Stegostoma tigrinum: one gene and its partner. The protein of the gene in region 2 purifies or fractionates together with the protein of the main gene of each other region. This does not show direct contact. Links are inferred from orthologs where the notes say so. Each region holds a gene or a part of one and is shown on either strand. Other genes may lie near its edges. The genes, in order: reps1 and aak1b.

Region 1 (3,921 bases), on a different chromosome or scaffold from region 2:
GAAAAAGATGACGGGTCATCTGTCTTCAATGTGCAATCTCTCATTCTTAGATTATACCCTCTGGTCCTAGACACACTCAAGGGAAAACAACTCTCCATTGTGAAGAGTAGTCATAAAAGACAAGACTCAAGATGTTAATTGTTTCTCTCACCAAAGATACTGACCTGTTGAGGTTTTCCCCAGTGTTCCACGTTTGTTTCTTTGCACCTACCTCATCAAGCCCCTTGTATGTTTTGTCTTATCTTCCTAAACTCACGAGTAGAAGTCCAAGCCGCCAAGAAAATCCCTCCATTCTTGGGATTAATTTTGTGAACCTTCTCTGGACTACCGCCAATAACAGTATCTCTCTCCTTGGATAAGGGCACACCAGAATGGTTCACAAAAATTTGGTGCACAATGCACAGAAAAGCAATTATCTATTTTAGTTCAAGTAGTTTGTGAATTAAAATTTTCTGAAACGTCATCAAAATTCATACTACTAGTTTATTGGATTTTTTTTGTTATTATAGAATCCCTACAGTGTGGAAACAGGCCCTTCCGCCCATCAAGTCCACACTGAACCTCAAAGCACCCACCCAAACCCATTCCTCTATAACCCACTAATCTAAACATCTGAACATACAGGGCAATTGAGCACGGCCAATCCACCTAGCCTGCACATGTTTGGACGGGCGGGGGGTGGGGGGTGAACCAGAGCATCTGGGGGAAACCCACACATAGGGAGAATGTGCCAACTCCACATGTACAGTCACCTAAGGGTGGAACTGAACCCACGTCCCAGGCACGGAGAGACAGCAGTGCCAACCACTGTGCCACCGTGCCACTAATATATCTCATAATTTAGACCTTCAAATCATTTGCAATGATTCCCAATTGCAATTCTGGTTTCTCAGGAAAGCAACTGATAGTATGACTCAAATATAACTAAAGGGTCATATGGGCTCCAGGCATTAATTACTTCTGTCTTTAAAGTCTGCCAGAACTGAATTGTTGCAGAGATAATGGGAACTGCAGATGCTGGAGAATCCGAGACAAGCTGGATGAACACAGCAGGCCAAGCAGCATCTTAGGAGCACAAAAGCTGACGTTTCAGGCCCAGACCTTCTAATGAAGGGTCTAGGTGCGAAACGTCAGCATTTGGCCTGCTCTGTTCATCCAGCTCCACACTTTGTTGTCCTGAATTGTTGCAACTCTATTTTAATCAAATTTAGACACTTGATACCAGTTAAAATTCAAAGAACTTTCAAAAGATGCAACCAAGCACACGAAAACCAACAGTAGTTGCCAGTGCTTTTGTCTGGACCAAGGAGAAAAGAGTATGCCAAACCCCGAGAACATGAATCCGTTTTCAGTAATTAACAACAGGTTCATCCCTCATTATCAGAAACTGACAATGGGACAGGAGTGTAGTTTTGACTGCTCATTTTTTTGGCTGAAAACATTGACTTTTGTTGAAACAGAAATCACAATTTCTGCAAGGGTACAAACATAAACATGTTTGTTCTAACACTTGCCCTAACTTTCCCCAACTTAATGTTTCCCCAACCAACAAATCTTAGATATGGTTACATTATCATCTGGTACTAGGTCACGATTAAGCGTTTATACTGTAATCATAAGAATATGCAATACCATCCTATTTTGTTCCAGCACCAAGAGAGATATTAACTGGATAGCAATTAAGTGTACAGATATTTCCAAATTCTTGAGTACAAGTAACAACCATTACTCTGGCTGATAGCCAACTCAGTACACATACCAGGCAAGATAAAATAGAATCACTAGAGATTAAAAACGGGAAAACATTACACGAAAACCCTGACTAAAGCACATGACGTTGTAACTCATCCTCGAATTCCGCGGATACAAACAGGATCACCTATGAGCAAATTTATCAACCCAGGACTGTAAACGAATAGTGCAATAAAAAGTAAAACACAACTAATACTGGCTGTGAAAACAGAATGGTTTACTGTAAATTACCAGTTTGTTATTACAGGAGCTTTCAGTTGAATTCCCAACCTCCTGTCGCCCTTTAATTCACACACGCGGTGCAGTCGCCGACCGCGAGGACTGAGCGTGATACAGGACGAAGGACACGTAGAAAACAGAAACCAAATCTCGAAATACAAGCCTGATTATTGGGCAACCTCAACACAGCCCTGAATACACAGAAGTTGCCTATGAAACAACTGCACAGCATCGAGAGGCCACTAAGAACCTCGGGCTTGTTGCACGGTTTATTTGGAGCACGGCGAATTTGCATCCCAGTTGCATTTGCCCAGTATCCTGATTAAAACAGCCCGCAGTCACAAAAACAATAGCCTTTCTTCCCCCCCCCCCCAGCCCCTGATTAGGTTACAGCAAGCGCCACTTTCCTTCCCTTGCGGGAGATCTGCGGCTGCGCGCTAGTGGGGAGGCGAGGGGGCGCCGCGGTGCGGGCTGGGAGTTGTAGTTGCCCCGCTGCCGCCCTCGGGATCGCCATGTTGGTCCGGCACCCCCGCTCACATCCCCCAAAACCCCGGGGGCCGAGCCCGTTCCTCTCTAGCCCTTCCCTGATCACCAAGACTAAAACTCTAACTGCGGCGAAGCAGCGTGGACGGACGTGATCTCATGTATCAGTAGCACCCCCTCCCCCAACAATCATCTTTAAGGAGTCTCCGAAGGAGCGCTCGCTGCGGCCCCTTTCCCCGCCCCCTTTTCCCCATTACCTCTTAAAGTCTTGCCAGTGTGATAGCCACCCAGCTCCCGCGATCAGATCACTCTGTGGGGGAGGGGGTGGGCTGATGATCTGTTCTCGCGAGAGGAACCGGCCGCCCCAAACCTTGCAACCCACATCACTCACGAAAACACCGCGGGCGACTGTCGGCCAATACCGTTGAGTCCCGTCTCAGAGCGTGAACGGAGGGTGGGACCTACACCGCCCCGAAGGGCGAGTGGGCGGGGCGATACCCGGGGATCGCATCTGTTGGCCACGTGACGATAGGACGGACTGCACGAGCAGAAGAAAGCCGTTCGTCACGTGACGCGCGTCCTCCAATACCCAGCCCCCCTGGGTAGCCGTTATTTCTGGCGGGAAGATCGCCATTTTGTGGGTGGGGGGTGAATTTTATAAATTGCTGGAAAAATGTGGCATACCTGCCAATATCTGCGTGGAGAGAAACAGGTTTAATGTTTCGAGCCTAGTGACACATTTCAAGATTGGAATGTTCTGTAGAAGCATGAAATTGTATTTCCCTCCTTCGTACCGACCACACTGCTCCTGATTCTAGAAGGGGGTGTAAGCCAACTTTCCCCCCCCTCACTTCTTCCCAATACTCAACCCTCTACTACCCCGGGCTGCATGAACTCTTCACTTGCAAATTTTCTGTCGAGAGGCCGAAGATGAGGGGACATTTGATGGAAATTTTCAAAGTCCTAGTGCGTGTGCCACTGAAGGCTGTTCTGCCCAAGATCATAAGGGGTTGAGACAGTGGAAAATGAGAAATTGTTCCCACTTGTAAAAGTGTTGTGAACGAGAGGGATAACAAGGTGTGGAGCTGGATGAACACAGCAGGCCAAGCAGAATCAGAGGAGCAGGAAGGCTGACGTTTCGGGCCTAGACCCTTCTTCAAAAATTCAGAACGAGAGGGCTTGTTTGTGAAGGGTTTTAGAGTGGAAGTAAATGTGAAGTGTGAATTTTCTGGTACAGTGTGCAGTTAGGGGCTGGAATGTCACTTTGGAAAGACCCTTGATCGTTCCTGTCATTGAATGCAGACAACATGAATTTGTACCTTTGCTCCATTGATAGTGCTGTAAGGTTAACTGACTGTTGATATGCGCTGTTTAAAGTGGGAGAATGAACTGATGCATTTTCTGTCTAAAGGGGAATTAGAAGTTGTTCGGAAGAAGGATTACAGGATTTGAAACATTAGTTTTGTT
Region 2 (3,921 bases):
TTTTGAAATTTCTGTTTCAGTATTGATGAAATTGCAGGATCTGTTTTGTTGAAATTACAAGACCAGTAACATCAGAACTGCTGGATCATAATATTTAAAATTGCAGGATCAATAATAGAGAGTGCTGGATCAGTCTTGAAAATGCAAGATACATTATACTGAAATCACAGAATTGGGACGGGCACATGATTAATTTTGGAACTGCTGAATCAGTATTGATAACGTTGAAATTATAGCCCATATATAAAAGTAGGATTGCTAGATCACTACTAATGTAAATGCAGGATCAGTAGTAATACTTAGAACGTAAGATTAGAAGTATTGGGATTGCAGGATCAGTAATCGTAGGATTACAGCATCAACAACAGTGTGATTGCTGGATCAGCTATAGTGGGATTGTAAAATCAGTAATAGTAGGTAGGATTACTGGAACAGTAACTGTGGTATGGTGGGATCTCAAAAAGCAAAAATGTTGAAATTCCAGGATCTGTAATAGTGGGATTGCAAGGTCAGAAATATTGATATTGCTGCTGATTTGTAATCTTGATATTGCTGGATCATTAAAGTAGGATAGCTGGATGTGAAATAATGTGAATATCAGATAATTAATGTTATAAATGTAGGATGACTAGTTTCAACTTGAGGGATAGTTGATGCTAAATTTGCTGGATCAGCAAATGTGGGATTGCAGGATCATTAACAGTGGGAATGCTGGATCACTGATGTTGAAATGGCAGGATCCACAATGTTGGGGTTCTGGGTCAGCAACAGTCAGACTGCAGGATCACTAACACTAGGAATGCTGGGTGTTGAAATGGCAGGATCTATAATGTTGGAAATTGCTGGATCAGTAGCACTGGGAATACCGGATGTTGAAATGGCAGGATCCGAAATATTGGGATCGCTGGATAATCGATGCCAAAATTGCTGAATCGGCAACAGTGGAATGGCAGGATCAGTAATTTTGAAATGGCAGGATCAGTAAGGCTGGGAATGCTGGATCACTGATGCTGAAATGGCAGGATCAGTAGCATTGGGAATGCTGGATCACTGATGCTGAAATGGCAGGATCAGTAACACTGGGAATGCTGGATCACTGATGCTGAAATGGCAGGATCAGTAGCATTGGGAATGCTGGATCACTGATGCTGAAATGGCAGGATCAGTAACACTGGGAATGCTGGATCACTGATGCTGAAATGGCAGGATCAGTAACACTGGGAATGCTGGATCACTGATGCTGAAATGGCAGGATCAGTAACATTGGGAATGCTGGATCACTGATGCTGAAATGGCAGGATCAGTAACACTGGAAATGCTGGATCACTGATGCTGAAATGGCAGGATCAGTAACACTGGGAATGCTGGATCACTGATGCTGAAATGGCAGGATCAGTAACATTAGGAATGCTGGATCACTGATGCTGAAATGGCAGGATCAGTAACACTGGAAATGCTGGATCACTGATGCTGAAATGGCAGGATCAGTAACACTGGGAATGCTGGATCACTGATGCTGAAATGGCAGGATCAGTAACACTGGAAATGCTGGATCACTGATGCTGAAATGGCAGGATCAGTAACACTGGGAATGCTGGATCACTGATGCTGAAATGGCAGGATCAGTAACACTGGAAATGCTGGATCACTGATGCTGAAATGGCAGGATCAGTAACACTGGAAATGCTGGATCACTGATGCTGAAATGGCAGGATCAGTAACACTGGGAATGCTGGATCACTGATGCTGAAATGGCAGGATCAGTAACATTAGGAATGCTGGACCTGTAACTAGAGTCGCAGATTTTCAGTATCAGTAATATTGGGGTGGCGGGCTTAGTATCATTGGGGATGCTGGATCACCGGTGCTGAAGGGGCAGAGCCATCCCTCAACACTTGTCAACGCCACGGCTCCCTGCCTCCATCCCCCACGGTCCATGGCCGCTCCTCACCTTCAGCCACCACCTCCTCCACAGTGACCTGCTGCCGGCCCACACTGAACACCCGGCCGATGAAGCCGCTGCCGGGGCATAAGCCGCCGCCCCCGCCGCTGCTGCCGCCTCCTCCTCCTCCACCTCCACCGCCGCCGCCGCCGCCTCCCGAACCCGAGCCCGCCGCCTCCCGCCGGGAGTCGAAGAATTTCTTCATCACTCGGCGATCACTCTCTGTCTCTGTCTCTGTCTCTGTCTGTGTCCGCCCCGCCACCGACCCGCGCGGCCGGGCAAAATAGAACAATCTCGATATATATATTTTTTAAATGTACGTGGTGTCACGGTAATAACGGCAACGAAAATGATAGTCGATCGAGCGACCGAGGGTTTAAAAACCGGGCCTTGCTTCCACCGCCGAGCCGGCCCGGTAACTGGGCTGGAGGGGGTGGGGGTGGTAAAGTGAAGAGACGGGGAGGGAATAACGGGGCGGACCAGAAAAAACAACCGGCTCCCTTTTTTTTCTTGTCGTTAACGCCGACATGAAAGCCGGACCCAAAGAAGGGAGACACAACGCGCCGTGACCCGGATGCGCAGCTGATTGGTTCGATCTCCTCCTTCTTTCTCCTCCCCCCGCCCCTCGGAACGGACCCGGAGTCCCGGCCGAACGGAAAAGACGTCGTTAAATGTTAGAAGAAACAAATCAAAATCTCGTTCGTTGTAAGGGGGCGGGGGGGAAGGTAAGAAAATATCGGCGGAATCCTTTTAACTGTTTATTTTTCAGGAGTTTGTACGCATGCGTGTGGGATTTGACGGTGGTGCGGAATGTTATGAAGAGGCCTGACGGAGATTGTAGTTTATAAAGTCAAGGTTGGATGAGCCAAAGGCTGGCGACTGTACTACAGTTCCCAGAGCACTTTGCGGCCACGCATGACTTCCGGCCTCGGGCGGGGCTCCAATTCCCGGCATTCGTTGCCCGTTGTCAGTTGCCGGGCTCGACGGTTTTCTCCTCAGCGAGTGGGCAGCAGGTCAGATTTGGGAATTGTTAAAATTATCACCGTAGAAAAAAAAACTTGGATATTCTAAATACACATTCAACTCTGATGAAGGGTCCAGGCCCGAAACGTCAGCTTTTGTGCTCCTGAGATGCTACTGGGCCTGCTGTGTTCATCCAGCCTCACATTTTGTTATCTTCAACTCTCTACATACGGCTTTGCTCTGTAAATTACTCAGTTGGAAAACCCAACGAGTGGTTCATCGATGATAAAAATTACACGGGTGATTTAGCGAGGGCGACCAAACCCTTTCATTTTAAAGAGTACTTCTGAAATGATGAAAAAATAAGTTAAAAATATGCATCTGTGCTTTGGATGTAAAGTCATTGGGGGAAAAGTTGACATTGGGTGGTTAATTGGTTTAAAACAAAACAAAACAAAACCGGTTCGGGGAGTCAACCTGCACAATGGTGTTAAAGAGCAAAGACACTTTTGGATATCACTAAAAACAAAATGGGCTTTGCATGTAAGTTAACAGGGAGAAATGATTTACTCGTGATGAATAGATGAAAAAAAAGCACGGGTGCCTTACAGACAATAGGTGCTGGAGTAGGCCATTCGGCCCTTAGAGCCAGCACCACCATTCATTATAATCATGGCTGATCATCCACAATCAGTATCCTGTTCCTGCCTTATCCCCATAACCCTTGATTCCACTATCTTTAACAGCTCTATCCATCTCTTTCTTGAAAGTATCCGGAGAGTTGGCCTCCACTGCCTTCTGGGGCAGAGCATTCCATATATCCACCACTCTCTCTGGGTGAAGAAGTTGTTCCTCAACTCTGTTCTAAATGGCCTACCCCTTATTTTTAAACTGTGTCCTCTGGTTCTGGACTCGCCCATCAGCGGAAACATGCTTCCAGCCTCCAGAGTGTCCAATCCCTTAATAATCTTATACGTTTCAATCAGATCCCCTCTCATCCTTCTAAACTCAAGTGT

What was found.
Region 1: the proteins of aak1b (region 2) and reps1 purify together in Homo sapiens (affinity purification with mass spectrometry; 3 studies listed by BioGRID and IntAct, counting the BioPlex papers as one, with this or other methods). This does not show direct contact. The link is inferred for Stegostoma tigrinum from reciprocal best matches to the Homo sapiens genes AAK1 and REPS1.

What each region holds. Positions count from the first base shown.
Region 1 is NC_081362.1:90,386,872-90,390,792, forward strand, and holds the start of reps1 (ralBP1-associated Eps domain-containing protein 1), read right to left. Parts: upstream 2,949-3,921; 5' UTR 2,712-2,948; intron 2,398-2,711; exon of another isoform or gene 1,984-2,397; intron 1-1,983. UniProt on the Homo sapiens protein: May coordinate the cellular actions of activated EGF receptors and Ral-GTPases.
Region 2 is NC_081393.1:6,534,128-6,538,048, forward strand, and holds the start of aak1b (AP2-associated protein kinase 1), read right to left. Parts: upstream 2,513-3,921; 5' UTR 2,148-2,512; coding exon 1,952-2,147; intron 1-1,951.